Xenopus tropicalis: one gene and its partners. The protein of the gene in region 3 interacts with the protein of the main gene of each other region in a pairwise test. Links are inferred from orthologs where the notes say so. Each region holds a gene or a part of one and is shown on either strand. Other genes may lie near its edges.

The links.
Region 1: the proteins of prpf31 (region 3) and khdrbs3 interact in binary tests that used the Homo sapiens proteins (3 or more experiments, as listed by UniProt). The two-hybrid records come from large-scale screens. The link is inferred for Xenopus tropicalis from reciprocal best matches to the Homo sapiens genes PRPF31 and KHDRBS3.
Region 2: the proteins of prpf31 (region 3) and tsga10 interact in binary tests that used the Homo sapiens proteins (3 or more experiments, as listed by UniProt). The two-hybrid records come from large-scale screens. The link is inferred for Xenopus tropicalis from reciprocal best matches to the Homo sapiens genes PRPF31 and TSGA10.
Region 4: the proteins of prpf31 (region 3) and cdca7l interact in binary tests that used the Homo sapiens proteins (3 or more experiments, as listed by UniProt). The two-hybrid records come from large-scale screens. The link is inferred for Xenopus tropicalis from reciprocal best matches to the Homo sapiens genes PRPF31 and CDCA7L.
Region 5: the proteins of prpf31 (region 3) and pde4dip interact in binary tests that used the Homo sapiens proteins (3 or more experiments, as listed by UniProt). The two-hybrid records come from large-scale screens. The link is inferred for Xenopus tropicalis from reciprocal best matches to the Homo sapiens genes PRPF31 and PDE4DIP.
Region 6: the proteins of prpf31 (region 3) and ccndbp1 interact in binary tests that used the Homo sapiens proteins (3 or more experiments, as listed by UniProt). The two-hybrid records come from large-scale screens. The link is inferred for Xenopus tropicalis from reciprocal best matches to the Homo sapiens genes PRPF31 and CCNDBP1.
Region 7: the proteins of prpf31 (region 3) and tmcc2 interact in a two-hybrid assay, tested with the Homo sapiens proteins (2 studies listed by BioGRID). The two-hybrid records come from large-scale screens. The link is inferred for Xenopus tropicalis from reciprocal best matches to the Homo sapiens genes PRPF31 and TMCC2.

Annotation. Positions count from the first base shown.
Region 1 is NC_030682.2:144,623,310-144,627,578, reverse strand, and holds the start of khdrbs3 (KH domain-containing, RNA-binding, signal transduction-associated protein 3), read right to left. Parts: upstream 2,801-4,269; 5' UTR 2,558-2,800; coding exon 2,473-2,557; intron 1-2,472. UniProt on the Homo sapiens protein: RNA-binding protein that plays a role in the regulation of alternative splicing and influences mRNA splice site selection and exon inclusion. Binds preferentially to the 5'-[AU]UAAA-3' motif in vitro.
Region 2 is NC_030678.2:112,840,046-112,844,323, reverse strand, and holds the start of tsga10 (testis-specific gene 10 protein), read right to left. Parts: upstream 2,801-4,278; 5' UTR 2,654-2,800; coding exon 2,600-2,653; intron 482-2,599; coding exon 266-481; intron 1-265. UniProt on the Homo sapiens protein: Plays a role in spermatogenesis. When overexpressed, prevents nuclear localization of HIF1A.
Region 3 is NC_030683.2:104,952,575-104,956,074, reverse strand, and holds part of prpf31 (U4/U6 small nuclear ribonucleoprotein Prp31), read left to right. Parts: intron 1-1,132; coding exon 1,133-1,193; intron 1,194-2,053; coding exon 2,054-2,137; intron 2,138-2,343; coding exon 2,344-2,441; intron 2,442-3,044; coding exon 3,045-3,151; intron 3,152-3,235; coding exon 3,236-3,405; intron 3,406-3,500. UniProt on the Homo sapiens protein: Involved in pre-mRNA splicing as component of the spliceosome. Required for the assembly of the U4/U5/U6 tri-snRNP complex, one of the building blocks of the spliceosome.
Region 4 is NC_030682.2:39,660,410-39,664,480, forward strand, and holds the start of cdca7l (cell division cycle-associated 7-like protein), read right to left. Parts: upstream 2,801-4,071; 5' UTR 2,695-2,800; coding exon 2,671-2,694; intron 1-2,670. UniProt on the Homo sapiens protein: Plays a role in transcriptional regulation as a repressor that inhibits monoamine oxidase A (MAOA) activity and gene expression by binding to the promoter.
Region 5 is NC_030680.2:118,189,242-118,192,741, reverse strand, and holds part of pde4dip (myomegalin), read right to left. Parts: intron 2,258-3,500; coding exon 1,973-2,257; intron 1,257-1,972; coding exon 1,125-1,256; intron 417-1,124; coding exon 297-416; intron 1-296. UniProt on the Homo sapiens protein: Functions as an anchor sequestering components of the cAMP-dependent pathway to Golgi and/or centrosomes.
Region 6 is NC_030686.2:18,727,218-18,731,386, reverse strand, and holds the start of ccndbp1 (cyclin-D1-binding protein 1), read right to left. Parts: upstream 2,801-4,169; 5' UTR 2,719-2,800; coding exon 2,661-2,718; intron 1,347-2,660; coding exon 1,290-1,346; intron 351-1,289; coding exon 271-350; intron 180-270; coding exon 98-179; intron 1-97. UniProt on the Homo sapiens protein: May negatively regulate cell cycle progression. May act at least in part via inhibition of the cyclin-D1/CDK4 complex, thereby preventing phosphorylation of RB1 and blocking E2F-dependent transcription.
Region 7 is NC_030678.2:72,958,888-72,962,387, reverse strand, and holds part of tmcc2 (transmembrane and coiled-coil domains protein 2), read right to left. Parts: intron 3,250-3,500; exon of another isoform or gene 3,084-3,249; coding exon of another isoform or gene 2,934-3,083; intron 1,158-2,933; coding exon 891-1,157; intron 1-890.

The DNA of each region.
Region 1 (4,269 bases), on a different chromosome or scaffold from region 3:
CCTTTCCCGGGGCTGCATGTTGTCCTACCCTGAGGATTCCTATACTGAAACCAGGGTAAAAATAAAGCGATGACAATACCTTGGGGTGGGCTCTCTTCCACCGAAATAGAGAGATGGAGACTGCTCTGTAGGTGTGACTGCCACGGTCTCTTAGAGAGAGACGGAGAATGCTATATATGTGGCACCTATTGTGAGATACAGCGGATCTCAATAGAATTAACATGAGGGAAACAGCTGGCGTTGGATCTTCCCAGAGGGACTCGGGGCGAGCTACAATATGCTATAGATACATTAGAAGGTGGAGTGAGTGTAGTTTTAGAACGCAGCCCCCCACCACCACCAAGAGCATTCTAAGTACAAGACCCCCAGAGGGAGCTATAGTAGTTCAAATCCATAGCTTCCCCCTAGAACAGGTAATGACAGATTTAGGTCAGGTACCAATACCACAATGTGATTTTTTTGCATTTCAGAGACGTTATCCTATGTACCCACCCCAACCAGAGTGAAAGCAGAGCCTGGAAACATATTACCCCCCCACCCTCTCCAAAAGAGCAATTTAGATTTCAAGATTCCAGTCCTTCTACCCAATCCCATCACTAAGTTTAGCCAAGGGGTTGCTCTTAAAACAAAAAGACTTTCTAGATATAATCCTGGCCATCAAGAAGAGAGAGCCCCCCCTGCCCCAAGCATTGTGATTTTTGGAAGAGGTTGAGAGATGAGTTCCCTAGAGAGGATAAGGTTATAGGGGAGCTTTAGGGAGCGCAGTCCCCGGAGTATGAGCAGCTTTGACTTGAGGGTAGAGGTAAAATCCTTGGGTGGTATTGTACATTGGGGGGTGAATTCTTAGTATAAAGGGCTTGGGGGTTCTTAACATGACTGTTTGGGAAGCTGAGGGACATGTTCCATAGGAGGTTGTTAAGGTGAATGTGCTTTGGAGAATGAACATTGATTTACCTTATTCTTCAGAGATGGATGGATAGGTAGATTAGATAGATAGATAGATAGATAGATAGATAGATAGATAGATAGATAGATAGATAGATAGATAGATGGATAGATGATGGTGAGGGTACTTTACTGAGTAGGACCAATTTTAGGAGAGGAGGAAGAGATGATATGTCTCAGGGAAGCACTTCCAGTGAATGAGTTCCCTTGGGGGGGCAGTAGAGTACAAGGAGGCTGTCCCTGGGCAGAGGGTAGGAATGAATGTACCCCAGTGGGGCAGTTCCAGTGCATGAGTTCCCATGGGGGGCAGTAGAGTACAGGGGGTTTGTCCCTGGGCAGAGGGTAGGAATGAATGTATCCTAGTGGGGCAGTTTCAGTGAATTAATTCCCTTTGGGGGGGCAGTAGAGTACAAGGAGGCTGTCCCTGGGCAGAGGGTAGGAATGAATGTACCCCAGTGGGGCAGTTCCAGTGCATGAGTTCCCTTGGGGGGGCAGTAGAGTACAGGGGGGCTGTCCCTGGGCAGAGGGCAGGAATGAATGTACCCCAGCGGGGCAGTTTCAGTGCATGAGTTCCCTTGGGGGGCAGTAGAGTACAGGGGGGCTGTCCCAAGGCAGATGGTAGGAATGAATGTACCCCAGTGGGGCAGTTCCAGTGCATGAGTTCCCTTGGGGGGGGGGTAATAAAGTACTGGGGAGCTGTCCCTGGGCAGAGGGCAGGAATGAATGTACCCCAGTGGGGCAGTGACAGTGCATGAGTTCCCATGGGGGGGCAGTAGAGTACAGGGGGGCTGTCCCAAGGCAGATGGTAGGAATGAATGTACCCCAGTGGGGCAGTTCCAGTGCATGAGTTCCCATGGGGGGGCAGTAGAGTACAGGGGGGCTGTTCCTGGGCAGAGGGCAGGAATGAATGTACCCCAGCGGGGCAGTTCCAGTGCATGAGTTCCCATGGGGGGGCAGTAGAGTACAGGGGGGCTGTTCCTGGGCAGAGGGCAGGAATGAATGTACCCCAGTGGGGCAGTTCCAGTGCATGAGTTCCCATGGGGGGGCAGTAGAGTACAGGGGGGCTGTTCCTGGGCAGAGGGCAGGAATGAATGTACCCCAGTGGGGCAGTTCCAGTGCATGAGTTCCCATGGGGGGGCAGTAGAGTACAGGGGGGCTGTTCCTGGGCAGAGGGTAGGAATGAATGTACCCCAGCGGGGCAGTTCCAGTGCATGAGTTCCCATGGGGGGGGCAGTAGAGTACAGGGGGGCTGTTCCTGGGCAGAGGGTAGGAATGAATGTACCCCAGTGGGGCAGTTACAGTGCATGAGTTCCCTTGGGGGGGCAGTAGAGTACAGGGGGGCTGTTCCTGGGCAGAGGGTAGGAATGAATGTACCCCAGTGGGGCAGTTCCAGTAAAATATACCCGGGGGGGGAATCGCACTGCATTCTGTACCCCACAGGATAAATATACCCCAGAGGTCACCCCCAGTGCAAGTGTCCCCCATAATATAACAATATAATACCCCGGGGGGGGCAATAGTTCCTACCTTCCTTCACCATCCTGAGTGCGTGAGTGAATGACGGATCCAGCGCGTCCTTCTCAGCCAGGAGCTGCGGGAGATACTTCTCCATACGGGGGTAGGGGGGTTAATACTCCGGAGAATCCAGCGGGAATCCGAGGGCCAGTCCGGGCGACCCAAAGGGGTTGGAAATAGTCCGCGGCAGGGGCAATAGAGCAGCCCGTAGGGATCCCTGTCAGAGCGAAGTTCCGCCACAGAGAGTCACTGTCACTGCCCTCCCCGTACCCACAGCGTGCGGCTCCCACACAGCCTCCTCTCAGCCCGCCCGGCTCCGACTGACCCAGCAGCCCACTCACGTCTCCTTAAAAACAAACGGCTGCGCCAACCCACCGCTTCCCTCCCTTGGGCGGGGAACAAGCAAATTCCTCCGCCAACCCCGCCCATACACACGCCCCTTGTCTGTTCCCAACCAATGGTGGGAAGGAGTAAGTGACAGGCTCATTAATATTTAGCGAGTCTCCCCGTTGGTCGCTGTCTGTGGTGCTGAATGGGCGGAGCTGGGACTGACTGAATGGGCGGGGCTGGGACAGTGCGGGAGGGGCCGGGAGTACGTTACTGAGCCGCTGTGGGTGCGGAGCCCAAGCCGGGGCCCCTGCGATGTTCTGCTGCAGTCGGTACCGAACTCTCCCACATACAGTCCCGTTACCCGTTATACCGCTACCCTATGTCTTCCTTCCACTGCCCGGATAGGAACTAACCCCCCCTGTACCTTCTGCCCCAATTCTACTCTAATGCCTGATACCCACAGCCAATCCTCACACAATCTCAGTTCCCATGTTACCCCACTACTAACCCCCTGCTTCCCCATAGAACCCCCTGCCCCCCCCCAAATTACTGCCCCCATAGTACCTTCTTCAACTCTCTACCAAACTACAGACCCCCCAACTATTCCTACATCCCTGTCTCCTACACAAAGGGCACCCTCCCTGAATATCTGCCCCCATATAACCAATACACCCCTAAATCTCTACCAAACTACAGACCCCCCAACCCTCCCTACATCCCTGTCTCCTACACAAAGGGCACCCTCCCTGAATATCTGCCCCCATATAACCAATACACCCCTAAATCTCTACCAAACTACAGACCCCCCAACTATTCCTACATCCCTGTCTCCTACACAAAGGGCACCCTCCCTGAATATCTGCCCCCATATAACCAATACACCCCTAAATCTCTACCAAATTGTGGGACCCCCCCAACCTATCATAAATCCCTGTCTCCTACACAAAGGGCACCCTCAACTAATTTCTGCCCCCATATAACCAATACACCCCTAAATCTCTACCAAATTGTGGGACCCCCCCAACCTATCATAAATCCCTGTCTCCTACACAAAGGGCACCCTCAACTAATTTCTGCCCCCATATAACCAATACACCCCTAAATCTCTACCAAATTGTGGGACCCCCCCAACCTATCATAAATCACTGTCTCCTACACAAAGGGCACCCTCAACTAATTTCTGCCCCCATATAACCAATACACCCCTAAATCTCTACCAAATTGTGGGACCCCCCCAACCTATCATAAATCCCTGTCTCCTACACAAAGGGCACCCTCAACTAATTTCTGCCCCCATATAACCAATACACCCCTAAATCTCTACCAAATTGTGGGACCCCCCCAACCTATCATAAATCACTGTCTCCTACACAAAGGGCACCCTCAACTAATTTCTGCCCCCATATAACCAATACACCCCTAAATCTCTACCAAATTGTGGGACCCCCCCAACCTATCATAAATCACTGTCTCCTACAC
Region 2 (4,278 bases), on a different chromosome or scaffold from region 3:
AGTCTGAAATAAGGAGTGCTATTTATAGCACGCGTTAACGCAAGAACATCGCTTCTTAATTATGACAAGTGTCCTTTTAGTGAATCGAGTGAAAAATAAGAAGTGATAAGATTTTTAACGCATGCTATAAATAGCACTCCTTATTTCGGACTTTAGTGAATCGGGCCCATTGATTTTAAGGCACCATATCTGCATTTTCAAGTCAATGCATGTCTTTTACAGCATTTTTTACAGCTTTTTTTAAATACAAAATTTGTGTATCCACCTTTGCATCCTCCAGTTCTTTTTCTGCAACATCCAAAAGCTGCTCTTTGTCTTTCTCAAGCTGTTCTGCTAGTTTGTCTATTTCGGTCAGCTCTTCACACAACTGCTCATTCTTACGTGTTAGGATATCCACCTGATTACTGGCAACCTCCTTGCTTTCATGTAGCTGTTCAATATGCTTTTCTAGGCCTCGGTTTGTTTTTTGCAGCTCATCAATCTAAAGGATAAATAATATTAATGTTAACAAAATTTAAAAACCTTATTTCTCACAAAATTTGCAGAGCAGTACTGTCCATTGTCAGGAAATCATAAGAGCTTAGAAACAGTGTCCCCATACATTGGTATTGTTATGCAAACCTCCAGAATACAGCAGTCCAATATAGGTTTAAATTGGATTTTTATACATATAGGTAAAGAAAAACAGAAGTAATGTTTCAAGCCCACGGAAGACCCATACATTGGTACTGCTATGCAAACCTCCAGGATACAGCAGTCCAATATAGTTTAAAATTGGATTTTTATACATATAGGTAAAGAAAAACATAAGTAATGTTTCAAGCCCACGGAAGACCCATACATTGGTACTGCTATGCAAACCTCCAGGATACAGCAGTCCAATATAGTTTAAAATTGGATTTTTATACATATAGGTACAGAGAAACAAAATTAATGTTTCGAGCCCACAGAAGACCTATAAGGACTCAAAATGATTCTGTTTCTCTCTCTTTTTATATAGAGAGAGGAGGCACTCACATAGATTGAGACCAGGAATTGCAAAGAAAAAAAAGAGTACGAAAAACATAAAAGGATAAATATATCATAAAATGTTTTAAACAAAATATTGTTAATTGGTCTCCCTGTGAGTGTTTATACTCTGTGACATTGGTTACCCTTCAAGCTTAGAATCTGAGCACTTGGACCCCATGTCACACTTGGTGAGTTTCTACTATTTAGTGGCAGTGCTAAACTGTTATTGTTTTATATTTAAAAAGGGAGGTCTGGTATATTTGGATGTATGTACTTGTCCAGTTATGTAATTGTATTTCATTTATATCTAGTGTTTATGTCTTCCATTGTGTTGATATGTAAGAACTGACTACCAATCTTTGCAAACCTGCTTATATTTCACATTGGACAGAGCTGGAATTGAATCAATTGTCTCCCTCCTGCCAATCAGTGATGAGAGTGTGCTCTTTATCAGGTACTAAGCACAGACCAGGCCAGGGTTCAACCTGCTTTCAGGCTCAACCTGTCTGTGCTACAACCTGCTCCCTGCTCTGTAGGGTATGTGATTGTACTATTACTTTCTACTATGATGTGGGGGCAGTTCTGCAGTTGGCCCTAAAGCTATAACTCTCAGGATATCTTGGGACTTCTGAGAGTTGTAGTATAACACACCCATATGTTAATGCAACATTTGAAATCTATTTCTGTAGTGATATAGTGACATACTTTCCAGCTGGGCTGGGCACAGATGGCAGGGAATTATCAGTCTTCCCAGCAACTGGGTAGTGATTATACACTTTAAAAAGGCATGTTTTCCCATATATACTTTTATTTTTTTTAGAATTTTTTTCATGGCACATGTTGGGTAATTTTTGAGCTACTTTCAAAGTGGCTGATTTTAGAACTAACGTTTGGAAAAATAAATCTGGCAACCCTGGACCAGGCATAAAGAGGTATACATCCATTAGAAACATAACAGAATCCTGTAATTGCAACATCTGGCAAATCCTGGTAGGAGTGAATTGCAGTCTTTCAATATAACAATGTAGTATCATAATAAAAAGATGTACAATAAATATGCAATTTACCTTGACAATTTTACAAAAATGACCAATTATTATAAAACAAATAAAGTGACCAAATGCACATTGGGGCAGCAGTGACTCTACTTTTCAGCAAGCTACTGAAACTGCACCAAGCACCAGTTGTCTGCCTAACCTCTTCTGTACTCAGGATTTCTCTGTGATTAAACAGCAATTTGAGGGCAAATCAAGAGTTAAAAAACCGAAAAGCCCGCTCCTCCTAGCTAGAGGGATAAGAACGTGTTCCGGAAGGGAAGATACAGCCAAACCTGTCTCCATAACAACCGAGTACTGCTGCAGGATGGCAAGCTCAAAGCGCATTTTACAAACGAATGAAATACTCTAACCTTGCTCAGGGGACTGAGGCAACCGCTCGGCCCTTGTAGTAATTGCCTTGTACTTTCTGATAAGAGTTTAAGAAATGTTTTAAGAATGTTTACTTTTGTTTGTGAGCCCTTTTGTACCCCTGATATTAACATACAGGCATCACGAAAAACATGATTCTATAATTCGAATGCACTGAGTACCTTGATCTGCAGTTCTGTTATCCTTCTGTGTCCGGCGTGGTTTTTGTTAGCCATGATTTAGGTGACTGGTGTGGCCACTGCAGCAGCTTCAGTTTGTGAAAGTATTACAGTGACAGGTCCACCCCCGGCATCTTCAAACCTGCCATTCACATTGTGAGCACACTCCCGCACTTTCTTTAGGCTTCCCTCCTCAGAGCTGTTGCCAGGGAAGCTGCCTCTAGTAAACACACATTCTTGCCCTCACTAGCCCAAAGCCTAGACCCAGCCCCATTCCATACGGTCAAGTCTGGATAAACAAAATTGGTTTATGCAAGAAAAAGTGCTAAATAGGTTTGCAGTAAAATTGCATTTTATGGGGGAAACAGAAAAAATTGTGTAAAATCCCTTAAATGTAAATTAAGGAAATGCATTATATATTGGTGGGACTACAAAAAAATTGAGGTTTTGCGAAAAGTGATTTAAAAAAAAAAGATGTAGAAGATGAAGGAAAACTTAAAATCAGGGTGTGAAAATTTGAGGTTTCACCATACTCCTTACTTATATTAGCCCCCCCCCCCCCCCACAAGACCTTCCATCACCCTAACAGGAAAAATCAGGTGCAAGTGTACAAAATGCACAGAATAAGAGAAATAATTCCTTCGACAATTTATCTGCATAGAGATCTAATGGATCAGTTTATTTGTATTTGATAATACAACTTTGTCCGGTTGAAATTATTATTCTTATTAGGAATAATAAGTATCAACCTGTCTTTAGTGAAGAATCAGAGCTGCTGTAGGTTCAAAAATAGAGCAATATTGACAATATAATTTGGCATCCCTAGGACCCCCAATTCTATATTCCTTTGTAAGTATTGCTTGAAAAATTAAATAAAAGCACTTGTTATTTTAGTGGTCTGAGATTGTGAATTTCGGAAGGCTTGGACAATGATAATCATTGATTTTGTCTGAATCAATCAAATTGGTCCATTGAATAAATAGGCCAGTTTGATTGGTTTTGCAAAAAATCCTAAACAGTATCAATATATGGGAATCCTGCAGGAAACCTCCAAGATTCCCACTCTAATCTTTGTTAAATTTGCCCCTTAATTATTGATAACTACATCCCATAAGCTGTGTGGAAAACACTCTCTGTAACCTTTTCTGTAACTACAGACACAAAACCATAAGCAGTTAACTATTTAGTTTAGCTCTCCCTGCATACACAATGTACACAGTAGCAACTACTAACAAGTAGATAAAAGAAAGCAAGTGTGAATAAATGATTTAGGACTTACATTTTCTTTCTTATATTCCTGCACCAACAAAGTGTCTGAGAAATCCATTTTGCGACTATACGTAAATGTAATTGGTATAGAACTGTTGTAGTGAATGAACCCTTGTATGCCCAGTACTACATTTACTAGGTAAACAAACACATCATGCAAAGGATCTGTATTGCTGGGGGCTTGCCATGCTGTACAAGTTCAAACATGCTTCTTTTCAAGGAGTGAAGCCAAACGGTTACTAGGCCAAACTTAATTACACATAATGTTATACATAATTTAAAAAATGAAGAACACGTAGTAATATTAGGCAGCAAAATTAACAAAAAAGAATATTTTGGAACAAATAAAAACCATGCTGATATTTTTATTGTCAAAATGTTAAATTATACCAATATTTGTTAAAACATGATGC
Region 3 (3,500 bases):
ACCCCTCCTCAAAATACTTTGGTACATTGCTGCAAAAAACAGTGTAGTAGTAAGAAGTGATCTTTTATAGTGCTTAAGTCCATATGAAAGAGGTCTATATGCACAAATAAGCAATTTGTCAAAACATCGTGAGATAAAAAGTAGGAGGATAAATTCACAACCTGTTTCCAATGTATGCGAGACAGGTCTTGGATACCCAGCAAATGGACTAATGCCTTTAATGGTCAATAAGGATACAGCTTGCAAAAACATGCATTCCTTTTTTTTCAGTTGTTTTTTTTTTTTTTTTGTCCACTGATGTCTCTACTATTGGTTTTTCCACCACCGCATTAAGGGTAGGGGTGCTATTTCCTTGCACTCTGATATTCTATGGAAGCATTTTGCAGCAATAGCAAGTATGTATGGGTTAAGTATGTGCCAGCTTTGTACTCAGATGACACAGATCAGATATCTGCCATAGATTCTCTATTGGATCAATATCCGTTCTTTAACTGAGCGTTGTTTCTCCCTCCCCTCATTACATCCTTCTGCTCTACATTAAATATGCAAAGTTTCTTTTGATGAAAATCAGGCCCACAGCAGGATTCTGCCACCAACAAACTTCACTTTAGGTATGGATCATCTTACAGTTGAGGGCTACATTTGTTGGCAAGTTACTAACTTGTAAAACCTATAGCTAATCTGCCTGGAAGAATGGCTGATGAATGGAACAGTGTACAAAACTGGCACCTACTTACCCACAAACACTTATGGGCAGATGTATCAGAATGTGAGATTAGAACTCACCAGAGAAAAATTCACACACTTTCTCTTCATTCCTATGGGATTTTCGTAAGTGCATCTATCAAGTGGTGAACTTTAACTTTCACCTATTAATCTAAAAATCACATAAAAATGAATAGAAAGTGTCTTAATTTTTCTTTGGTGAGCTCTAATCTCTCATTTTGATAAAATTGCCCCTTAGTGCTTTCTGTGCTGCAAAAAGTGGTTCTAACACATATTAATGTGTGGGGTTTTATTTTTTTCTCTGATATATATTTATAAATGAAAACAAAATTTTTAAAATGATGGAGCAAAATGTCTATATAGTCTGTTATAACCACATTGTGAAATAAATGATGCATTTTTTCAGTTTTCAGAAATCCTTTTAAAGATTGACGGATACATCAAAAAGCAACCAAAGGCTTCTGAAGGTATCATTTAAATCATGGCATTAACTCCAAAATTTCAAGCCAGAGTACCTAAAATATCTTCAAATAATTTTCATGTGGACTGTTAATAACAGAGACAAAGAGTTACCAACCGAAAAGGATTGCAATATAAAGAAACTCACATTGTATTGTGCTGTAGAGTGAAAGGCAGCTGCATGAGTTTGTGTGGCTTTAAGGGAAAGATATTATAATAATTCATGTTTTGGTGTGATGTTAATGGTTATTGAATGGGATGACTTATTCTGCCTCACTCATGCCTGAAATTTGAAATATCCATAACCCTGGTATACAAAACAGATTGATGTGGAGGCTAGACTTTAATTGGTATTTTATATTACATGTTTTATTACACATCTTTTCAAAAAAGTGTTCTTCGTTTTTAAATCTAAACTGCAGTTTTCCCAGTTATTAAAAAAGAGATGAATGATGGCAGACTGCAAATTATTGTATATTGCCAGTTCTTCATATAAAAAGGTATAGTTATAAATTGGCACAGTGGTTAATTTCATTACTTTCTCTATGAACTCATTGGTTTGGCATACTGCTGTGTTTCATTAAAGTGACACAAGTAAGAATTCTGGAAAATATAAGCATATTCAGACTAAATATGCCTGTGTTTGTTTTATGATTAGCTTCCCGAGGAGGCGTTTATGTAAATGAATGAATGCTGTTACTCATCGACCTTCCATTTAGCCCAGTGAAATTAGCAATATATGTGATCTATTGATGTAAACTGGTTCAAACAGCAACATTGCATATAGATTCTCAAACAGAAACAAAGCAAGAATGTAGTTTTGACTGCACTGGTAATTTGAATTTTATTCTGTTTCTATTTTTTTTAGTAATGGGCCCTGTTGAAGCTGCTCCAGAGTACAAAGTTATCGTTGATGCTAACAATCTGACTGTGGAGATTGAAAATGAGCTAAGTAAGTGCATCTGACTGTATTCTCCGTGTTGGTAGAAAGTGCAATGTTTCAATAATCTGAGGTGATGATTTAGTAAAATAAGTGCTACATTTATGTACAACCCTTTTGTATAGGAAACTGCAGATACTATGTTAGAACATCTATAGCACTTGTGTACAGTATATATGGGAGTGTACGCTCTTAAAACCTATATTATATCTTCTTAGATATCATTCACAAATTTATTCGGGACAAATATTCCAAGAGGTTTCCTGAGCTGGAGTCCTTAGTTCCTAATGCTTTGGATTATATAAGGACTGTGAAGGTAGGTGATTTGTGTGCATGAGGATACTAAGTGGTTAGTTTGTGTGTCTTTCAGTAAGGGGGATTGTATTTTGTGCATGTGTGTATATAGTTATGGTATAATGGTGATGTCTGGATACACAGTGTGTAGTATAACAGTATGTAGGAACATACACTGAATAGAGAAGGTAATTTGTATAAAGATTTATTAAGCTGGACCCAAACTTTTCTTAAAATGTTAAATGAAAAATGTATGAACCATAAACATATATGGGGTACATGAAGTGACAATAAACTTAGCATTAGGTGACATCAGTAAACTACTTATGGCACCACTTTATGAACTTTCACATTTATTTTTCTTCAGTTTTTAGGTTAGCTTGGGGCCTAACAAAATCATCAGTATTGTGTGGGTTTCCCCTAGGTACTTTGCTTTCTTTTAATACTGCAAAGACATACAAGGAGGGTAATTGGTTCCTGATAAAATTGACCCTACTATGCCTGAAACTTATAGGGACCTTAGACTGGGACTGATGAGAATGTATATTATCTCTGTAAAGTGCTGCTGAATATGTTTACGCTATATAAATATCAAAAATAATAACATCTTATTTGGGTGTTGTAGGAGCTAGGGAACAATCTGGATAAATGCAAAAACAATGAGAATCTTCAGCAAATTCTGACCAATGCAACTATCATGGTTGTAAGTGTGACAGCCTCCACAACTCAGGGGTAAGTTCATATATCTGTTACTATACTATAACTTTTTCAGTGTTTGGGATGAAAATAAGAAGTAAGTTCCTCTGATCTACACAGGCAGCAATTAACAGATGAAGAACTGGAACGAATTGAAGAAGCGTGTGATATGGCGCTAGAACTCAACCAATCCAAACACAGAATTTATGAGTATGTGGAATCTCGTATGTCATTCATTGCTCCTAACCTCTCCATCATTGTCGGGGCCTCCACTGCTGCCAAGATCATGGGTAAAGTGTCATAGTGTTTGTTTTTATTTTAGCCAAGATTGTTTTATATCTTCACTCTTCTGCACAAAAAAATCTGTTCTGTAAACCATTGGCAG
Region 4 (4,071 bases), on a different chromosome or scaffold from region 3:
TCTGCTAAAACACAGGTAGAGACCGTTATCAGTAAATGAGCAGCATTGTCTTTTTTAGTAGCTGTGACAAGTAGCTGCTACTAGTAGCTCTTCACCCTAAGAAGAGTGCTAAACTCAGTTACTAGTTGGTGGTGGGGCATAGGTAACCCAGTTACTAGCTGGTGGTGGGGCATTGGTAACTCAGTTACTAGCTGGTGGTGGGGCATTGGTAACTCAGTTACTAGCTGGTGGTGGGGCATTGGTAACTCAGTTACTAGCTGGTGGTGGGGCATTGGTAACTCAGTTACTAGCTGGTGGTGGGGCATTGGTAACTCAGTTACTAGCTGGTGGTGGGGCATTGGTAACTCAGTTACTAGCTGGTGGTGGGGCATAGGTAACTCAGTTACTAGTTGGTGGTGGGGCATAGGTAACCCAGTTACTAGTTGGTGGTGGGGCATAGGTAACCCAGTTACTAGTTGGTGGTGGGGCATAGGTAACCCAGTTACTAGTTGGTGGTGGGGCATAGGTAACCCAGTTACTAGTTGGTGGTGGGGCATAGGTAACCCAGTTACTAGTTGGTGGTGGGGCATAGGTAACCCAGTTACTAGTTGGTGGTGGGGCATAGGTAACCCAGTTACTAGTTGGTGGTGGGGCATAGGTAATTCAGTTTACATAGCTAGGCAGAATAGTGTATATAAAATAGCAATCAACTGCTATGGTAATGGCCCCAGTGCCTTACAAAGGGCCATTTTTATGCTCACATATAGAAAACCGAGGTTACCACAAATTATTGACAGGCAGCTTAATTTTCTAAATGGGGAAAACATCAACCAATCCTACATGAACCAAAAGCACATGATGAGCAAGCTGGGGCATTCACTCACTATGCGCATACTTGTGCCCCAACGTGGCCTTCCAGTGTAACTAAGGGGCTTTTTTGGGGAAAAAAAAAAAAAGCATACTGTTTTCCTCTTCCCGGAGTCAGTCTGTTAGCCCGCACCTCTGATGGGTAAAATATTTTATTATTAAGGTGGCCACAATTGAAAGATTGTCAGATCCGCCACTAACCTTCAGGGCTGAAACAGGCAGATAAGGAGGTAGAAACAATAGGATTTCTACCTCCTTCTGCCGATTCAGCCCTGACGGCAGATTTTGGTCAGGTGTCTTCTATGGCGCCCGATCAAAATCTTTTAACTGGCCGATCGGCGAATCGTCTGATATCAGCAGCCTCCTGCCATATCGGTCAACTCAACGACTTGCCATACACGCACCGAATATCGTACGAAACGAGGTTTCGTATGATATTATCGGTGTGTGTATGGCCAGCTTTAGAAGTGGTGGGTAAACCCACATGGGGAGGAAAATGGGATATGTCCTTGCTTCAGAGAGAAGCAAAATGGATCAGGGGGCTAGAGTAATTGCAGCCAAGGGATATGAACAGTCCTACGGCTCTTACACAAGTGTTCTTACCTGCAGTCCCCTGCGCTGGAACAGGAAGAAATGCAAAATTTGCTATTAGTTTGTACTCACTGGTGCGTGGGCACAAAGTGTAGGTGAAACACAAATTTGTTTTTGTTGTTTTCTTGCATTCCACGGTGTACAAACTAATAGAAAATGCAGGGTTGCGTGTCCATCCTGTAACAGCCCTGGTGTGTAACGGTGGCCATACACAGGCCCATTTCAGCTGCCTATAGCGGTCCTTTGGACCTACCTGCCCCTGTATGGGCACCAACCAACATCTGGCCTGAGATCAGCCACGTCTCCATCACACAGATTTGATTCTTCTGTCAGATCGAGAACCACATCGGCTCGTTAATGCGGCCCCTTAACCACCAGTGCCTACGCCCCCCGAACCACCAGTGCCTACGCCCCCCGAACCACCAGTGCCTACGCCCCCGCCGCTTTCACTCCATTGTTTGCCCAGAAAGCTCCAGATTCCTCCCATAGTCAAATTTAAGCATTTTAAAAATGATTCCCTTTTCTCTAGAAATAAAACAGCACCTTGTACTTGATGGTAACTACACTGCATGAATCAATGTCAGTGGTAAGGGGGCCATTCTTATTGTATTTATTTCATGTTTATGTTTCGAACCAGGCTTGTGGGCACAGGGTGTGCGCTCCCATGTGAGGAAGTTTTAGGGACCCCCCCCCCCCCCCATATCTCCTATAAGAGCGGCCCAGGCAGCAATGCCCAAGCAGTGGGGCCAGTAACATTCTGCCAGCGGAATTCCCTCCTCCCCTGAGTAGTTTTTGTCCTAAAAATAAGAATACATTTATAAGGTAGGTGATTAACACTTTAGTTGCATCTCTAGTATTTTCCAGGTCTTTGACGAAATCCACAACATGAAACCACACAACTCCCAGAAGCCCCCGCCAGCCGCAGTGCACTCGGTATAACGCAGGCGGCAGGGCGGTAATGCGCTCCCAGCGCTGTATATAACAACTGTATATAGCTGTATATAACTTTATATAACTGTATATCAGTATAGAAACAAGGCGCAGAGTGTAACCCGGAGCCGCCGCTCTGCTCATATCCCGAAATGCACCGCGAACATCTGATGAATGGGCAGCGAGCGTGTGAAGGTGGCGCGAAAGGCAGAAACGCAGCGACAGTGACACAACGTGCGACCAACTCGCACTCTCACAGCTCAGCTACACAGAATGGGGAGCAGGTGTACGCAGCCACCTCACCTTCACTCCTGCTGCCGGCTCCATGCTTATTCAGCTTCACAAGGAACAACGAGGCCCCGCTATAACTCGCACACAGCCGCCCCTCTGGGATCCCGAGTGTGCAGGAAGGGTGCAGCGTCCAATAGCAAAGCACTCCCACAGCTGGCAGCCTATAGCAACAGGGAGCGCAATGTAGCCCCGCCTCCTGCCTGGCCAACTCTTGGCAAATTTCTTATTCTCTGTAAAGAAGCAACTTAATAATTATCAGTTTAGAGACGTGCTAGTCTGTATAAAGGAATGAATTTTATAATACTAACTATAACTACGAGTAAATCGGTGTTAGTGCACAATTGTATTTGTTATCGTTTATCCCATTGATTTGTTGGGCAGAGCTGTCACCTCTTCTTTATTTTCGGCTATAGTCTCTGGTTTGTACATTTTTCCTTTGAACCGTCCCTTGTTCTCAATGGAGAAAGAATCTTAAAATACTGGGGGCTGCCAGATTCTTGGGCACTCCCCAGTGACCCTAACACCATTCCCCCATGCCACAAAGTATTATGCTCTTAAGACACAAACTTTAAACCTTAACAACCCCGCACAACACCTCACACAACATATATGCATGGCAACTAGGATTCATATTGCAGCCCAATGGAAAGCGAACTCGCTATCTATCAAGAAAGTCCTGGACAAAACAGAATATATACACGCCATCAAAGCTCTTAAATACCAACTGGAAAATTAACAGCTATACCTAAAGATATGGGATACCTGGATACTAAATAAAGACCCTCTCTCAAACACAAGGCTATGGGTAGGACTCCCGTAAACAATCTAAAAACAATAAATAAGTGAAGGAAACACTGAACCTATTAACAATGTTTAACTTAATATGGAGACCTAGGGCGTAAATTGTTATACTGTTCCTCTTTCCCCCCCCCTCACCCTTTTCCCCCTTCCTCACCCTTCCTCCTCCTTCCTCCTCCTTCCCACCTCTCCTTTTTTGTTGTATACTATAACTCTGAACAATCACAAGGACATTAAGCCTGATAATGTGCCTAATATACAAAATGTTACGCATGTAAAATTTGAAAACAAATGTGATAATGAAACATGTAAAAAATCAATAAAAACAAACGTTACAAAAAAAGGGGGGGGTCATTGGCCTAAACAAGTTGTTCCATTCTGGGGCCTTTAGGAACTCCCCAATAGTGTTCCCAGGGCTAAATTTTGGTGCACAAATCTGAGTGAAAACACAAATTACTTTTCTGACCCACTCACTCAAGTATTTGTTTCTAAAAATGTGCACACAAGATATTTTTTATTGCACAGAACCTAAAAGAAATTAGACAATGTATAGCTTCGCCCCAACCCCCCTCGCAGGGCCCCCCATCCAACGTCCTTCCCCAAGCGCGTAAAAAT
Region 5 (3,500 bases), on a different chromosome or scaffold from region 3:
CTCTCAGGAAAATATCAAGACCAAGGCTTCTACTTTATACCTGCACAATTGTGCTGTTGTGCTCCATTATGCACACCTATTAAGAGACTGATATTTAGGGACGTTAAACTATATGTGCCCTAATGACAGTATTTAAATATAATGCTCTGATTCAGAATATATGTTGTTGTACCTACAGTTAGGGTACACAGCCGATACTCTGTATCAGCATAAATGTGCCTGCTACTATTGCTTTCATTTTTATTTTTCAAAGGATGTTGCCAGTTGTCCCCCCAAACACACAGGAAATCCCTTACCTCTGGAGATCTGATTGATTCGGACTTGTAAACTGAGGTTCTCTTCCCTGAGTGCTCTGTTCTCATTGGACAGTTGGGGCAGTGACTCCAAACCATGGATGTAAATATTAGTGGGGGGACCTGGAACATAAACAAAAGATTATGATGGAATGCAGGGGAAAATGCAGTTGTTTCTAATAAAAACCCTATCCACAACATGTAGCAAATGTGAATATATTGAAATAGAGTTAAAATTGGTTTATATTGTGCATATTCCTTTTTCAGCAGTTACTATTCAATTACAGGGGAGGTGTATTATATACTCCTATCTTCTGGAGCACTGTGCAGCCTCTAATTCACTCTTATACTCTAGCGGGAATCCCCAACCTTTTTCTTCGTTAGCCACATTAAAATGTAAATATTGGGGAGCAACACAAACATGAAAAATGTTCCTGGGGGTGCTAAATAAGGGCTGTGATTGGCTATTTGGTGGCCCCTATGAAGTCTGGCAGCCTACAGGAGGCTCTGTTTGGCAGTGTACCTATTTTTTAATGCAACCAAAATCCTCCTCCAAGCAAGGAAATCAAAAATAAGAACCTGCTTTGAGGCCACTGGGAGCAACATCCAAGGGGTTGGTGAGCAACATGTTGCTCCTGAGCCACTGGTTGGGGATGACTGCTTTAGAGTATTTAGAAAGCATATCAGCATAGCTATTGCATCCCGACTGAGATACATATAAGCCTCACAGCACACATGCAGTAACTGGGACACATATCATACAATTTGCCAAACATCACAGAATGTTTCCCTAGCAGAGACACAAGTGCTGTCTTCTCATTTCTTCCTTACCACTCCCTTTAGTTGCAGCTGTGAGCTTGTCTTCTAGCTGTGCCCTCAGGCGATCATTCATGTGGATGGATTCCTCCAGGCTTTGACGGAGGTTTCGGATTTCAGCAAGATGTTCCTCCAATAGATCCGAGCCTATTATCACCCAAAGAAGATGAGGAAATTTGGAAAATCAGCCATGTAAACTTACTACATAAGCATTGCTATCTTGATATATTTTCCTCGAAAGATTGTTAGCTTTATAATGAATCAGCTTTAAACAGGAATTAAAGGAAAACTATACCCCCAAAATGAATACTTAATTTTATATTGTGATAAGTGACCTATTAAAGAATCTCACCAAACTGGAATATAAATATATCAGTAAATAGTGCCCTTTTACATCCTTTCCTTGATCCACCATTTTGTGATGGGCTGTGTGTTCCCTCAGAGATCACATCACCAGAAATAACGCAGCTCTGACTGTAACAGGAAGAAGTGTGGGAGCAAAAGGCAGAACTCTGTCCATTCATTGGCTGATGGGGCCTAGCATGTATGTGTGCCTTGGCTTGTTTGTGTGCACTGTGAATCCTATGATCCCAGGAGGGGCCCTTAATTCCTAAAATGGCAATTTTCAATTTAGGATAACCCAATAGCACATGCTACTAAAAATTTATATTTTTCTGAAAATGGTTTATTTAGATGAAGCAGGGTTGTACATATGAGCTTGTTTATGCAATATATTTTTATAGAGACCTATATTGTTTGGTGGTATAGATTTCCTTTAAATCCCTGTGGACCCTGTTTGTTTTGTGGAGATAACTGTATATGAAGAATGATCAGAGAAAGCAACCAATCACATGTGCCATTACCTGTGAGTTTGCTAGCAGACTGGTACCCAGAAGATCCAGAGGAAGCATCTCCATGGACATTTCCATTCACAGGTCTGACCAAATGTTGCATGTCCCACAACCCACTGCTGTTTGAGAATCCTGTCTCTGCTGCCCTGAAACCTGGGGCATTCTGTGTTGCTGTTGTACTGGGTATGTCATGCAAAGGTTGGGGAAAATAAGATGGGAACACGGAGGAGGTGGTTGTGTCAAAAAAACTAGTAGAAGCATGGGCTGGTCTTATAGCTGATGATGCCATAGGCATACCTGCAGGGGGAAATGTAGATTATATCAATTTTACACTGATGAATTCTGAATATTTTTTTTAAGAATTCCTTTAAATCTGCAAACATATTAATCATTAATATATAACAGGTTAATATGCAACTCATCCCTGTAGATGTCTGTGTTATACATAGCACTGTTAATTCTTACCTTGCATGACCACTCTCAATAATTAATAGCCCTAGTCATGTTCTCATTTTCCATACTTAAGCATAAAATAGCCACAAATGATTTCATTACAAGCTGAAATAAAAATCATACTGGCCCTGTATTTAAGAAAATGACTCTTTACACTAAATACGTGTAAAACGCTATATATTACTGTCAGTAGTAGTTAGAAGGAGATTTTCCAGGCAGAGAACTATCACTAAAATTATGTTTCTATTTAAAAGGGCTGTTTACCTTTAAATTAACATTTAGTATGATGTAACAATAATATTCTGAGACAGTTTGCAATCTGTCTTCGTATTTATTTTTTCTTTAGCTTTAATTTCACACCTCTTCAGTTTGGTATTATAGCACCTTTCTGGTTGCTAGGGTCTTATTTTCCATAGCAACAGGGCAGTGGTTTAAAAAGAGATAATAGTATAATAGAGGGACTGAATAGGTAAGTAAATATATTCCTACTCAAACAATATGCATTTTTAATACAATCTGAGCCTGCCTTGTTATTGCTGTTATATTCTAGAAGCAAAAAGATAGTGAACAAACGGCTCATATACAAGAAAAAAGATAAAAAAAAACAAGCCAACACCATTTTAAGAACACATGTTAATACGTACAAAGTTAAGGCGTTAACTGACACAAAGCAGCAGACACAAACATTGGCAGCACTCCATGCTCCATACGGTATACATCATGCAGGTTTCCCAAACTTCTAAACACCTTAGGATGCCAGAGATGTCCCTCAAATCAGTAAAAGCTGTGGGAGGCTGGCTAAAGCTGCTGATTTGTGAATGATACAGTTGCGTGTGGTAGGGCAGATTCAGTTGTTTGCCATGGGTGTTGTCCGGTCAGTGTTGCTGACCCAATGCTTATTTGCGATTAGACACAGGGAGAACTGTGCTTCTAAAAATACCATACACCATGTACGTGATCCTACAGTTATACTAGCATTTTGGACCAATTTGCTCACCTTTGCTGCTGGAGGCATAAGCCTAACACTAGTGCAAGGGAGTCCATGTATTACTCACGTGCCACCTCTACCCTCACAGGCGCAACTTGA
Region 6 (4,169 bases), on a different chromosome or scaffold from region 3:
CATACAAATTACCAAAGAATGGCTGATAAACCTTGAATATACGGACTGCTGAGAAATCACACCGTACCAGATACTAGTCCAGGACACTGCTTCTCACCTTGTTCCTTTGGGAGAGAATAGTACACAGTGGCATCTGCTAAGATAGCATTGAGAAGTCCATCACATAGCTTCTGGCTGCCCTGGGGTAAGGGAAATAGGGTGAAATAAGTTATGTGTTATCCTGAATAAAGATTTCACATAGACCGTTTGTCTGTATGGGATATCACTTACCTCTTCTGAAGGCAGAGGTGGTTTCAAAAAAGCCAAACTCAGCTTTGTCGCTTCTTGAGATGTTGCTTTAATTGAATGTCCTATGAAAAATATAGGAAATAACTGTAAGAGACACAAATAATATGTATATAGCAATTTCCTCACTTCTATACTTTGGGGGACTCAAAGATCTTGAAGAATAAGAGTATAAGAATATTAAAAAAATAAGTGGTGCTTTTTTTAAGCACTTTTGCAATTTACATTAATTATTTCTTTCTTTCAGTTTCAGAAGTTTTTATTACCTACCAATATAATGAATTTTGTAACAGCAGCACCACCTGCTGGTCAGTTCCTGTAACTGTAAGTCAAGGAGATTTTCCTGTACAGTTACAGGAACTTTTTGCATTTTTTTTTTTTTAAGGCTCACAAACCCTTAAAGAGGATTTCCAACAAGTTCGCCTTCCCAGGTGCATGCCAGGAGATCAAGGGGACATTTAATTCATCTTTTTTGACCAGAATGACCCCGCCACCCACCCGACCCCTTCCCCCAAGCACGTGTAAATTAAACTTACTTTCAGTGCAATAAGTAATGACCTTGTCATTTGCATTATCTGCAGCGATTCCCTAAGCACTGGAAAATATATCATAATGTGTATTTTTTTTTTGTGTAAGACACTTGTGGAATGTGTCAGTGTTTACAGGGAATAAATGTTGAACAGATGTTCTGGAGATGATACAGAACCACACCTCGCAGCCTACTGCTGATAGCAGAAGGCTCCTACAGACAGTCAATGACAGAGGCAGTAGATATATAATTCTGCTGCCTTTCTAGAGTGCAGTGCCCTCTGTACACAAAAGAAAAAGCATTTACTCTCTCTATAAACTTAAACTAAAGCAGAAGGCGCATCCCTGTGTCACACTGTACAAAGCTACTTCAACCAATCATGTACAGGCACTACATAACAAATGGAAAATTCCTAGCAGACAATTTCTGTTTTTTATTCCATCATAACGTTACAAGCCTTGTGTCAGTTACTTACCCAGTGTTCCCCAGAAATGCTGTGCATTGAATTTCTCACTCTCTCTGGGTTCTCCATCTACAGAAACAAGGCAAGAGCACTCAGTCTCACTCTTAGGGGCACATTTACTAATCCACGAACGTCCGAAAAGCGTCCGAATGCGTTTGTTTCGTAATGATCGGTATTTTGCGACTTTTTTGAGCGCTCAATACGAAGTCGTAATGGCTATGAAAAAGTCGCGACAATTCACGAAAGTCGTAATGGCTATGAAAAAGTCGCAACAATTCACAAAAGTCATAATGGCTATGAAAAAGTCGCGATAATTCAAAAAAGTCATAATGGCTATGAAAAAGTTGCGACAATTCACGAAAGTCATAATGGCTATGAAAAAGTCGCGACAATTCACGAAAGTCATAATGGCTATGAAAAAGGCGCAATAATTCACAAAAGTCATAATGGCTATGAAAAAGTCGCGACAATTCACGAAAGTCATAATGGCTATGAAAAAGTCGCGATAATTCACAAAAGTCGTAACGGCTACGAAAAAGTCGCAAAAAATACGAAAAAGTCGCAAAAAATATGAAAAAGCCGCAAAATGTTTGTTTTCCAATCCAAATTTTTCGGATACGTGGATTAGTAAATCAGCCCCTTAGTCTGGACCTGAGATCTATCCTTATATTCACCATAGGCTCATACATCATATATTCCCAACAAAACAGACATATTCATTAAAGAGAATCTAAATTCAATATCTAACTGCCCCCATGAAATTCTGGCTGTCCCTTAAGGGATTATTATTATTATAATATCATAATTAGCCTCTTTTATAATTAAACCAGGATTTTGCATAAGCTTGAATAGAGTTTTGGTATTTTTACCCGGTCAGATCAGATGGATCGAGTTCATTTACAGCCCTTGCCATACATACAACATAGGTCATGAAATGAATTCCTGAAGAAAAATGACCAATTCAACCCCTCCAACTTTACTATTTGGACAGTGTGTTTCTAACGTCCCTATATGTTGTTAGACTACAATTCTCAGAATATAATTAAGGGTTAATACACTCTATAAGCGTTAATCCCTTTTAATTCAGATATATAGTGCTACCAATGCCGCCTCCAGCATATATACATCGGAACAATATGCCAAGGTGAAAATGTACTTAATATTTGGTTTCAATGTTGACATCCCTTATATATGTGAATACACTCCCTCAACTAGGGAAGCCAATCTTTCTGCTCTGCTTCATAATTGACTCCGGCTGCGCAATGTAATGCTGTCGACCTACAACTCCCACTTTCATATAACGCAGCAACAAGTAAAACCCAGCTGGTGTCACACTGTCGAGACCTTAAAAGTGTACAGGTGAGTGACTGTCTTTGTAATCACCTCGAAGCTTCCCCAGCACTACTCTTAGATTTTCCGCCAGGTTCCTGATCGACTCCATTTTCGGCGGACCCAACACCGCGAGTCTGCTGTAGCAGGACGAGACTGTGACAGCGTTGCACCAGAGCGCCACTTCCGGTAAGGAAAAGCTTGTAAACTTCCGGCACAGTTACATCGCTTTCTCTTCTCCGGTTGTATAAGCAGAAACTAAGCTCTGAAGCGAAGCGCATAATAAAAAAAACATTGAAACTAAAATGACGCATCTTTTGCTTGACTTCTAATAGATAAAACTAAGAATATGCATTTTTTCGAAGAAAAAGACGCCGAACATAGTCCCCTTTGCAGTAAAAATGAAGCTTGGTGCTAATTTTAATTGAGGTTAATAAAGTGATAAAGATAATTACCAGTCACTAGTTATTAGTGCAGACTTGGCCCTGGCAGCATGCCAACCTCGGGCCTGAGCCTTCCCACAAATCTAGGTCTTAAACTACATGATTGCCTTTTATCCTATACAAATTATGAATGTACCAGTGAATTATACTCCTCTAGATATAGAAGGATTATGCTTAAAAATGTTGTGTTTCTGACTGATTTATTGAGAAATTCCACAAAAACCCCACTGGCCCCGCCCATCTGCATACCTCCCAACATTTGAAAAACGAAAAGAGGGACAAAAAGATTTGGCGCACGCAGCGCGGCAATTTTGTGGCCACGTCCCAATTAACACACCCCATGTTTTTCTAAAAATACTCCTTTGTGCTATACCCTTATACTGTACTACCTAAGGAAAACAAAATAGCAACTCCTACATATAAAATACAAATATAGAGAGAAGGCAGTCAGTTATAAGTGAGTTATAACTATCTACCAGTTTTGCCCCCCCACACAGGGGAGACAGTACCCCCCATACACAGTGCCCCCCAGGTCCCCCATAGACAGTACCCCCCATAGAAAGTGCCCCCACTTTACCCCATAGACAGTGCCTCCAATTTCCCCCAGACAGTACCCCTCATACACAGAGCCCCCCATACACAGTACCCTTTATACACAGAGCCCCCCCATACACAGTGCCCTTCATACACAGTGCCCTTCATACACAGAGCCCCCCATACACAGTGACCCCATACACAGTACCCTTTATACACAGTGCCCTTCATACACAGAACCCCCCATACACAGTTCCCCCCATACACAGTACCCTTTATACACAGAGCCCCCCATACACAGTGCCCCCCCATACACAGTGCCCCCCATACACAGTACCCTTCATACACAAAGCCCCCCATACACAGTGCCCTTCATACACAGAGCCCCCCATACACAGAGCCCCCCATACACAGTGCCCTTCATACACAGTCGGAGCGCTCAGCTTAAGCCCTCTCATCCCGCTATCGCGGATCGCTCTATGAATGTCCCGCATTTCCGTAATCTATTACGGAATTGCGGGACATTCAGGGAACTATCCGGGACAGCGGGATGCGCTATAAAAAGCGGGACTGTCCCGCTCAAAGC
Region 7 (3,500 bases), on a different chromosome or scaffold from region 3:
CCTCCTCACACGCTCGCATTCAAGACTTTGCAAGGTCTGCCCCCCTTCTCTGGAATTCGCTCCCACAAACTGTCAGACTTTCTCCCAATCTCTCTGCCTTCAAGAGATCTCTAAAAACACATTTATTCAGAGAAGCTTACCCTAATCTAGTTTAGCAACACCCTGTGCCACACCTCTCACAACTCTGGTAATGCCCATTCCCACACCTTGAGTCTTAACCCTTCTCCTTGTAGATTGCAAGCTCTTTTGGGCAGGGCCCTCTTCACCTCTTGTATCGGTTATTGATTGCTTTATATGTTACTCTGTATGTCCAATGTATGTAACCCACTTATTGTACAGCGCTGCGGAATATGTTGGCGCTTTATAAATAAATGTTAATGTAATGTAATGTAAGAACATCATGCAAGCACTTGGCATTCAGTTGTCACTTGGAAATATGCAGACTTTGTTTCCAAGTGTCAGTCACTTGCACAAGCTTTCATGTGATGCCACATTTTAATACATGCGTTACTTGACCTTAATATTTGTACTAACACAGATTCTTTGAAGGCAGGTAGAATTTTATAAACCCTGCAGCAAAATAAACTTTTAATATGAAAATTCAACTGTACTGAATTCAGTGTTAATGTTATTTTTAATTATTCATAGCATCAAATGTAGCGGAAAGATTGTTTGTATATTTCTCCAAGTCAAGGTTTTAATGGATTAAAATAATTCAATTTAAAGTAAAAAATGCATTCTTTTGGCCTTGTGGTTTACTTTTTCTATTTTATTTTTGTTTGTCAGTCAATACCTTAATGCCCAACATATTTGCCTGCTCCTACTTACATATGCTTCAATGGTGCACAGTTTGATATTGCTTAAAGAGTATGAAGAAGCTTATACTGTACCTGCTTGATGCGAGAGGCCTGTTGGCGGTCTGCGTTATTTGCCAGTTTCAGATATTCAGCCACATTGTCATCTCTTGCTTCCTGCTCAATTTTGATCTGCTCTGTGATTTTTAGGATCTTCTGATGCAGATGATCCATGGCTGCCTTTGTGCGTTGAGGGTCAGGTGCTCCCTCTGGGACTTCCAGGCTGATGTTTCCCTCTGAGCCTCCATGAACTGTGCTGGGGGGCAGCCCTAGGGTGCTCAGATCCCCTTTGTCGAGTTGTTGCTGATTAAAAGAAGGGGCAAGTCAGAAACAAAATACAAGTTACATAAACAATATAAAATAAAATCTATGACAGTTAATACAATTAATATTCCACAGCGATGTGCTAAGAACATACACCTTCGTATTAGCCCCATGCCCAGTAAAATTTACAATATAAATCTCTGTCACATATACACACTATGATCAGGAGCCAATAAACCCTTCTGTATGTTTTTGGGAGAGGAAACTGGAATACCCAGATCAAACCCTCACAAGTACAAAAAAAACATCCAAACTGATTGCAGATAGCTAACTGACATCGAACCACAGTGCTGCAAGGCAGCAGCTCTTAACACTGGACTACTGAGTACATTTAACATCACATCCAGATCCAATAAACAAAGAATGCTTCTGTAATAACTCCTACAGTTGTGCCCGTAGATGCTTGTTGTGCCAGTCCACACTCTGATGCTTTACATTCTGTTAGTGCCCACCCACCACTGGGTCTATGAATGATTGTTAACTTTTATAATGTGATGCTCTCACACTGATATGTTGGGGCAATTAAACTTTCCCTTTAAGTCCTTCCACTATTTTCTACTTTAGTGAAACACTTAATCTGCCAGGTATGCGCCTCATCTCATTACCCATAAGAAGCAGTATTACAGTGCAGATTTGCATATGCATAGTTTTTAATATCCCACTACTTGCAAAACCTGATGCTTACAGAACAGTAAAAGCAGCTGGACTGCTGTGGCATAGCATAAAAACAATGTAAAGGCATATTTAGATTTGAATGCATGTCAAAATGATATAACCTAATAGCCACCTGAATTTTTACAAGTGACAAAAGATTTCAGATAATGTTTTAAAGTGATACCTATTAGGTGAAATTGGAGGGGGTGGCCTGTGGCAGAATGATGAAAAAAATATGTGGTGGTCAAACCTCTTGCAAACCAACAAATTCAAAGCTATCACACTACCTGGCTTAGTGTTTTCTTCATGTGCATGCCACATTTTGTCATTATTCGTCAGATAGCAGCTTTGCAGCGAGGGTGTTTAAGTCAACACTGGGGTTACTGAACTAAAACCATAAGTAATGTGCAGAAAGACAGAAAAACAGTGAGCTGAGGAAATTATTGCAAATTTTAGTGACACTCGGAAATAAGGGCTGATGTTTCTAAACTTCCCCTTTTTGCCCTGTCCTGAACTGAGGAGCATGGATTGGTGAATAACAACCTATATTACCCCCGTCCCTCGTGTAACACAAAAAGCCACAGTCTTGGTTAACTTAAATCTGTTTTTAGCAAATGCCCTATTTTTGTCTAAGAAACCAACCTACAGAATAAAATCAGGCAAGCTTTTATGCAAAAACATAGATTAAACAAATTATTTGCATCCTCCACTATTTCTGTGTTAAACATCGTTTTTTTTTCTTTATTAATAGCAACTGTTCAACAGTCCCTGCACCAGTGGAGCTTACAATCTAAGCTACCTATCACATTCACCAATTTACCTGCCTGTATGTTTCTGTAAACATTCATCCACCCATGGCATGGTTTGAAAAAATACAGGTTACATGCCACATAAACTGATGGCTAATAATAAATAATAGTAATAGATGTGCCAGTTTGTCTACCACTGCCATAGACAAGCACATTACCACATTTAAAGTTTTGACAGAGATTTGCTGTGTTAATCACTGTATAACCTCAAATATACCTTCTATATAAGGTGATAACGTCAAAGATAAATCAATTTTTGCTAAGCCTGTGGCCTGCGCCTCTCCATACTTACACTCACTCCTAGCAGAGTGTTTACAAGTTGCATCCTCCCACTTGCAGGCTCAGTTGGGTAAATTTCAGTTAACTGGACATCTAAAGGGTTGGTACACAGGGCCTGTCCTAGTACCATTACAAAAGGCAACTCATCCTCTCCTTCCCTCATTTTGACATCCGTATCAAGGAAGTAGCAGAGAAATAACAGAATATTGGTGCAGCAGAGTAACAGGAATAGCTGGGAGAGTAAGAGTGGGAGGGAAGTGACTAAGGATATCAGTATAAAGAGAGCTGCAGAGAGAGAGAGAAAGGGAATGATAGACTAAAGGGGGATTAAAAAATAATTAGGGTATACAGTATAGAATAAAGTATGGAGGACATTATGTAGGCACAAAAGAAGCTGTAAGTAATAATAAATACAACAGGAAAGAGGGAACGCAAAGGAAAATGAATGAGAGGACAGGAAAGGAACAAATAGACATAAAACATGGATCAAGCTGACCAAAGCTTAAAGTACAATTTGGTTATGTATGGAATGGCTAAGGGAAAGCTAAAGGAAGAAGGGTGCACCTACAGTAAATGCAGC